Linked DNA regions of Tribolium castaneum. Each later gene encodes a partner of the first gene's protein in a complex. Links are inferred from orthologs where the notes say so. Each region holds a gene or a part of one and is shown in the gene's direction. Other genes may lie near its edges.

Region 1 (3,701 bases):
ATTTTCAAATGTTGACTGAATTTTTTATCGCACTATTTGCTTCAAAATCGCGATAAATGTTTTACGTAACGCTGTTTACTACGTCCCAACTCTTTGTGTTTTTAACCACACTTCATTGTTAATTTTGCACCACGTGTCCACAATAAATAATTCCAAGTGAATTCTTTGTTTTCCTTTCGTTAATATGTGGCCACCCGGTATTGAAACTTATCTAACGCAAACAAGTCTAAATCCAGTTCATTGTTGAATGGCCGTCCGCGCGCACCATGGAGCCCCTCCCCTTGACCGGTAACGCCATTCCCTTGGTGGTAACAGCCCCATATGGTCTTTTCCAGATAGTACCACGGCCCAACAGGTCCGCTTCCCCTCCGCCACCAAGACCAAGTCCAGTGGCGTGGACGACGGTTTCAAAGGCGAGGCCGCGAAATGCGGCACTTCTGTGGTGCGAGTGGCCCACCAGATGGTGTTAGGGAAAGCCATCCGTGGCTTTGACATCCAGAAAAAAGATTGTGATTTGCCCCCAGAGGGTTTCAACCCTTCGTTACGTCGAGGGAGCAAGTCGTTGCCCGCGTCGCCCCTGACGTCCCCCAACTCGTCCCCGAAAAGCACGCGACGCGTGAACAAATACTTCACGGGGCCTTTTGTCGACTCCGAACACCAGGGCAGTTGGATTTTGTCGAATTTGTTGGCCAAGAGGCAGAATTTGTCACAGAGTATGGGCTTTATCGCTGAAGAGGAGAAGGAGATGAAGAGGACAGAGTCGAATTTGAGTGTGGATGAGGTGTCGAATGGCAAGAGGAGTCAGGTGTTTGTACCCAAACCGTCAGAACTTAGGGAAATGAATTTTTGGTCTCCCACTTCCATGTGAAGTGGGCACATTTAATGTTGTCTAAGCAATATCTTTAATTTTTAGTTGGTTTCTTTTAGACATTGATTATTTTTGTAACTGTAATCATAATGCTCATTAAATTTATTTAAGTACACCAAAATCGTGTTTTAATGCCGCAAGATCGACCTCAAAGTCGCTAGTTATTTTAGAACACCCGTGGGTGGTATAAATAGAATTTGTTCTACGACTCGGGTTTTGGCGGGGTTACTTCCAAAAAACGTTTCCATGAGGTAATTAGGGGGCCACATGCTCGGAATAAAAAGCCAAAAAAAAAATATATAAATTCACACCAATATGATAACTTGACCGAGACTATCCAAATAATAGCAATTGTTAGTTGGTAAAGATTACTAGCATAGTAAATTATGCTGAAATTTCGTCCAAACGTTGCTTTTTACTCTACATACAGCTTTCCAAAAAATTTTAAAAATGACTAAATGTCAAGTGTATAATTGGTTGCATAGTCACTTTGTTTTAATTTTAAGTTTGGAGGGCGCCAAACGTTTTAATATCGAAATATTAGCAACAATTTGCACTAAACTTTAATTATAATTGCTGCTTAAGGTTACTAGTGGTCTGAAATGGCAGGTTTGTACCAATTTCTCTCTTATTTGACCTGAGAACCCACCTAACCTCAATTTTAGACGACTGTGCAGACCCTGAGTTATTTTCGCCCCGCAGGGGTTCCCGGCAACGCAATTTGAGTCTAAAAGCTAAAGAATACGTATCTACTTCCAGTAGGAGGAAACGTGGCTTTAAAAAACTGAATATTTCTACAGCAACTGAGTCTGAGGACGATTCCAATTGTGAGAGTAGTGAAAAACCAACAGGTGGACCATTTGCCTGTTGTATAACTTCCTTCATGAGTTTTTTGTAGTTTTGCACGATAATGACCATGTCCCTGGTGATAAATTATTCACGTTTCAAACGCGCAAAAAGTGCGAAGTCGTTCAACAAACGCCGCACGCTTTTAGGGACAAAATGAGGAAAAATATCGTGGCGAAAATTTTGGAAGAGAATGGTTCGAGCGGAGATGATTTTTCAGCCAGTGAGAGTGAATTCGAAGTGTCTGAGGAAAATTCAGAGGAGTCTTCCAGCAGTGACGACACACCGCCTCCCCCGCAAAACAAAAATATTAAACCCACTTTAGGAGCGAGAAAAGTCAATTACACTATAAAAACAGACGATTATTTCGCACAACACGCCAGTAAAAAAACTCTAACGTCCAATCACACTTTAGATAAGTTGGAGACACCAAGACTGCCGCAAGACCAACTGCATAAACTTTTGTCGAGAGTTAGCCTAGGGTGTGAGCATGAAAAAGCCACGAAAAAATTAATCGAGACGAATTGCGCCTATTTTGATAAGTGGATGTATTTGATGCATGAAAATTTCAATATTTTGTTGTATGGGTTGGGCTCAAAGAAGGGCGTTTTGAATGCTTTTCACGAAAAGTGTTTGAAGAAGTTGCCAACGGTTGTCGTGAACGGATTTTTCCCTTCATTATCAATTAAAGATGTCCTTGACGGGATTATTTTAAATTTACTAGAACTGAAGGAAAATCCCTCAAATATTTACGAGGCCTGCGACCTTATCGAGCGCGAATTTAGTTTTATTCCCGAAACTCATTTATACCTCATTGTGCACAACATCGACATGATGCGGAGTGGAAAAGCCCAAAGTGTCTTTGCAAGACTCGCGTCAGTCAATAACATTCATCTAATCGCGTCAATTGACCACATAAATGCCCCCCTAAGTAATGAAAAATTCTAGTAGTGCGCAAAAACTTTGATTGTTGTTTTAGTTTGGGACCATTCCAAAATAAGTAAATTCAATTTCACGTGGTGGGACGTTACCACTTTCCAACGCTATATTGACGAAACGTCCTTCGAAAGCTCAATGTTGGTCCAAAGGACCGGAAACCTGGCCTTATCATCGCTTCGGAACGTTTTCTTATCACTGACGAGCAACTCCAAAGGAATTTACTTAATCCTCGTCAAGTATCAAATCGAAAATGGCAAAAAACAATACTATCAAGGTGATTTATCAGTTTGTGCGTTCAAAACTGATTGATTTGTTGCAGGCCTGGCGTTTAAAGACTTGTACTCTTTGTGCCGCGAGGCATTTTTGGTGAGTTCGGACCTGGCATTGCGGGCCCAACTCACCGAATTCGTGGACCACAAAATGGTGAAGTTCAAGAGAGCGCCAGACGGGACTGAGTATTTGATAATCCCGATTGCAAACGCGTTATTACAGCAATTTTTAAATGAACATTCCGGTTGATTGTATTTTCCAATAAAAATTTAAGTTGGCGCTCGCGTTTGAATCACCTGCTGCCATCTTCGTGGAAGACAGTCGAACTAAAAAACAAGATGGTTTCGCAGTGCTGAATTTTATTTGAGTCAAAAAATCGAATTTTTCGCTTGGTTCAGACGATCATTGTTCGAATTGTACGCAAAAATGTTATTGTGTGTCGTTTCGATATGTCGCCGCCGTGAAGGCGCATGAATGCGTGGTGAATTCCTGGGTGAGTATCATATGTTTATTTTTGAAGGTTATCTTTTGTTGGTGCTTCCACTTTTCGGGTCGTTGGGACACGCGAGGGGGCCGAAATGGCCCCAATGTGGCTGCTCGTAACTGTGCCGAAAGCCGGCCGAGGCGGTGTGAGAATGACCGGAAATTGTGGCAATTTGTAAATAAAAACAAACAATCCGTTTTATCTCTCGGTGTGAACTTTCCAAGGTTAAACCGTCTGCGTGCACGGGGGTGGCAGCCAGTGCGAGGCTTTAGCCCCCCGCGTTATTAATTGACT
Region 2 (3,945 bases), on another chromosome or scaffold:
GTGAGCTCATTAAAGATGATCTTAAGTCGACTAGCATCGTGCGTTTGGTCAATTTGGACGTCATCCACATTGAGCGATTTTTGTACTTGTGACAGAATCGTGCTTAAGTATGGAAACACCGACGCTGGCAGCAGCTCGTGCAGCCCCTGAACGACCGTAACCACAGCCACCCGCGACATTTCGTAAGACAACTGCGTATTAATCCTCACACTCTCAACCAGCTCGTAGACGGACTGGTCTGTGATTGCGGGCGAGGGCAGCTCTGCCTTTTTCACGTCGTTGCAACACTCGGAAATCACCTCCTCGTGAATGTTTTCGATGGACTTCCTCACGCGTTCTTTGTTCGCTTTCACAGGCTTGATGGGCTCCTCAATGTCGTTTTTTAGTTCGGTTAGGAGCGAAGACTGCGAGCTCATGCTCTCAAACCGCCCCATATCCGAGTTTTTGTAATGTAACGTCTTGAGGTCGTCCCCGTGACCCCCGACCTCGGGCAGCTCCTCGATCTCCTTCTTCACTTCTTTCAAGCGCAGGATGATTTCGTGGCGGTCGGTGAGGTTCTCCACCGGCGCGCGCTTCTTCAGGTTCTCGAGACAGTTGTCGACGAACTGGAGGTAAAACGAGGGGTTCACAGTGACAGTCTCGACGTAGTTCGAGGGGATGAACCCCATTTCCCCAGCTTCGTTTATCACTTCCCACCAGTTTTTGTGCTTGGTGTTGCTTTGGTGCAGGATGAAGTATTCGTTGGTGCGAAAACTGAGGGTTTTTGCGTACGTTGCTTTGAAGTCGTAGAGACTGTGGAGCATGTCGAGGGTGCCTGATTTATTAATGGGGTGGCGATTGAAAAAGAGGCGCTTTAAGGGCTCACCTGTTAAAACTATCTTCTGTGACATGGTGGTGTTACGTAAAAGCGGCCAAAGTGAAAGTAATAATTGGATTAATTATTGTTTTGACAAATAAATGTGTCACGCCTCTTTTTTGTTTATGTTGTTGGATCGTGCTCGCTCGTGCACTAGCCGCAGGACCCGATCCGTCAAATTCAAATTTATTTTTTTAATTCACGTTTACTTATACAAATTGTTACCAAAACCAACCCCCTCGTCTCACACAAATATCGAAAATTGTACCTTGGGTTCATTGTACGTTGTATTTCTGTGAAATCAAATCCATTTGGTGAAACTTTTTACGGGTGGCGACATTGAGTTTCAAGGTTTTCGTCAAATTTGATTCTTGTGCCTGTTTGTACGAAAAAACTGTTTGTTTTGAATTGACAGCAGTTGGGTAAGTGGAATTTATCTTATTTTACCTAACGCTATTCTCGACTAGTTATTTACTTGCTGACAAGTGGACAAAAAATCAACATTGTGTTTTTTAAGGTTAGGTAATAGGCGCTCAAACCGGCAATATATAATTTTATTCAATAAAAAAATTGGGGGCATGATAGAATTTAGCATGATTTTAGCTGTTTGGCTGGAATAATTTGCCGATTTAAATGGTTTTATATTTTAGTTGAGTGAATTTTTTGAACAAATCAAGTGGTTGTGTATCGCTGGTGGCGCCGTCCACCGGCGTAAAAATTCAAGTAGCGTTTTCCCAAATTTTTCATTTTGCGTTTTGTGCCTTTCGTGACGGTTTAAAACATTAAAGTTTGGCTCTCGTGCAAGTTTAAAGTGTTTTGTGCTTCGAGAATTATTTGTTTCGGAAGTTGGAAAGGTTTGTGTTTTATAAATACGAAACATTTTGCCCATTTACAAGGCGGCTTTGTGTACTGTTTTTACCAGCGAAAAAACTGCGTAAAAGTTGGTTATTGTTGGAAAAGTCGATAAATGCGTGTAAAATCCAAGTTATTTGCTTTGGAAATGTATAAACTGGGAATGTTAGGTCTAGGGTCAGTTTTTAAAAAGTGAATTCGCTGGTAAAAGTTAATTCCCAATTAGTTCGTCAATCAAAGCATTTGATTGGTTCAGTTTGACCACGTGATCTGACTTTTGTTTACAGAAAGCAAAATTAAGATTTAATTCAGAATTAAACCAAGTTTTTTTTAAATATCACTCGATTTTTAAGCTATCTAAGCTATCAATACAGTTTTATTTTTACTCCATTTCATAAAAGGATTTATTTTCACCAAAATGCTTATCATAGTATTTCCCACTTACTGCAAGCGGAAAGATTTTTAGTATTTCGTGTAACAGGTTTTATGTTATCACTGTTATCAGTGGGTCACCTGAAGTGAATGATTCATGCGGAAATAAAGGTGTAGATGTTGGAAAAAAATAACCAAATGAATAAAATTTAATAAAATTTTATTGATAATAATGTAAAATCTAATAATAGTAATAATAATAATAATACAGTGAATAAATAGAATATTAAAAAATGGCAACACTCAACTGGCCCCACAATTACTTTTCGCCGATAAGAGCTAGAAGGCATTTTCTATAATCGCCGGATGTATCGCCCTATAACGCCCAATTTTACAAATTAATTTAATCATTCCTAGAATTAAATTGTCATACCTTAATAGCCTCAGCCAAAGTCTTCCCGTACTCTTTTTGATATTCATTTTTAATTTCCCCCATGTCAATTTCACTCCTGGTCACAACCACTCTTATCAAATCTCGATCATTAGTTCCCAAGCCTTTCATACTCTTATGCAATTTTTTGGCAAAAAATTTTGCTTTATTTTGAACTGTCTCCACAATTGCCAATAAACCGTCTTTAATATCACCGGAGAATTCACTCTTAATTGCTTGCTCGATCCCGTGACCAGTCAATTTTTCATACTCTGCGAAAATAAGCCGAAGTTGAGGATAACTTCTCTCGGTTAGAATTTTAGTAAAAGTGGATTCGTCAGTCCCCCATTGGTTTTCCCCAGCATTGTATAGATTTTCAGCCTCGGAAACTGCCTCGGTTTTATCGGTCGCGGCACACTCGTCACGTTGAACACCGCAGAGGGCTACCAAAAGTTGTTTAAAGTAGCCACTGGTGTCCCCTTTTATGTCACCTTCGAGGCTTTTGTGAAACACTAGAAAAAATAGTACGAAAAAGTGATATTTTTCCAATAACTAAACGAGTTACGTTTGTGATAAGCATGTCTGATGGTCATAATTTCTGCGTTATTCAAAGTACATAAAACTTCAATTAGGACATCTTCGTCGGTTCCTAACCCGCTAATAGCCCTGTGTAATTCCTCAGCGTACAATTCTTCACGTGGTGTCATTAGGGCCAAAATTAGTTGTTTCAAGTCGCCGCTTAATTCTTTTTTAAGCTCGGAGATTAAATTGTTATTGTGGTGTTTATTAAATTGAGACATTATTTCTAAACGTTGGGCTAAGGACCGTTTCGTGATAATGTTAACGATGGCTTTTTCGTCAGTTCCGGGCCCTGTCATTGCTTTGTGTAAAACTTCGGCATCTTCACTTGAGAGGAAAAATTTCGAAGGTGTTACTGTTGGAGATGTGGCAATTTGGGAGTGCTGGGTAATAAAGATATTAACTAGTTTTTTATCTACTCCTTAACATACCTTTGGTATTTTGGAACATCCGAAGTGATTCATTTTGGGCTAAATAGTTTTATATTAATATTGAATTTTTTTTAATGATGTGTTCATTAACTGCACTTACTTGAAAATTTGTTGACTCGAAATTGGGACAAGTTGTTGCAAGTGGAAACCTTAGAAGACTGAGTGAAGCTAAACATTAGAATCAATAAAACGGCTTATCGGAATGATTATTTTTGCTTCCTTATGCACAATGTTTGGAAGGGGGCTAAGTCAATCGCCGATTAACAAAGCAGTTTTCACAGAATGGGTACGGCGGTAATTTTTGTGATAAATGAATTTCGGGAAATAAATACAAAACCAAAATATGATTCATTTATTTACACAAATATTAATACATGAATAAGGATATCAAAAGAAGATTTTCGTTCCAAATTACGCTTCCCCAA

What was found. The genes of interacting proteins can lie anywhere in the genome.
Region 2: the proteins of Orc2 (region 1) and Orc5 are in contact, whole or in part, in a cryo-EM structure (PDB 7JPO), measured with the Homo sapiens proteins. The link is inferred for Tribolium castaneum from reciprocal best matches to the Homo sapiens genes ORC2 and ORC5. Residues at the interface, in NP_006181.1 of Homo sapiens: Val240, Glu241, Tyr243, Phe244, Glu245, Ser248, Asp396, Gln398, Arg401, Gly402, Glu403, His426, Asn428, Ala429, Pro430, Leu431, Met432, Trp433, Asp434, His435, Gln438, Trp445; in NP_002544.1 of Homo sapiens: Asp324, Lys325, Phe328, Leu329, Leu359, Asp360, Arg361, Ala364, Tyr367, Ser368, Ala378, Asn379, Phe381, Ser382, Gln383, Thr385, Ser386, Thr389, Asp400, Gln401, Leu402, Asp403, Tyr407.

Annotation. Positions count from the first base shown.
Region 1 is NC_087397.1:6,382,138-6,385,838, forward strand, and holds Orc2 (origin recognition complex subunit 2), read left to right. Parts: upstream 1-1,319; 5' UTR 1,320-1,470; coding exon 1,471-1,477; intron 1,478-1,533; coding exon 1,534-1,719; intron 1,720-1,766; coding exon 1,767-2,645; intron 2,646-2,693; coding exon 2,694-2,927; intron 2,928-2,972; coding exon 2,973-3,172; 3' UTR 3,173-3,201; downstream 3,202-3,701. Other genes in the region: uncharacterized protein LOC655336, read left to right, coding at 336-868. UniProt on the Homo sapiens protein: Component of the origin recognition complex (ORC) that binds origins of replication. DNA-binding is ATP-dependent. The specific DNA sequences that define origins of replication have not been identified yet.
Region 2 is NC_087395.1:23,971,378-23,975,322, forward strand, and holds the start of Orc5 (origin recognition complex subunit 5), read left to right. Parts: upstream 1-1,145; 5' UTR 1,146-1,278; intron 1,279-1,541; exon of another isoform or gene 1,542-1,710; intron 1,711-2,283; exon of another isoform or gene 2,284-2,399; coding exon of another isoform or gene 2,400-2,456; intron 2,457-2,513; coding exon of another isoform or gene 2,514-3,022; intron 3,023-3,075; coding exon of another isoform or gene 3,076-3,472; intron 3,473-3,520; coding exon of another isoform or gene 3,521-3,553; exon of another isoform or gene 3,554-3,559; intron 3,560-3,620; exon of another isoform or gene 3,621-3,756; intron 3,757-3,857; exon of another isoform or gene 3,858-3,931; coding exon of another isoform or gene 3,932-3,945. Other genes in the region: NCK-interacting protein with SH3 domain, read right to left, coding at 1-814, 866-890; annexin B9, read right to left, coding at 2,400-2,456, 2,514-3,022, 3,076-3,472, 3,521-3,553; annexin B9-like, read right to left, coding at 3,932-3,945. UniProt on the Homo sapiens protein: Component of the origin recognition complex (ORC) that binds origins of replication. DNA-binding is ATP-dependent. The specific DNA sequences that define origins of replication have not been identified yet.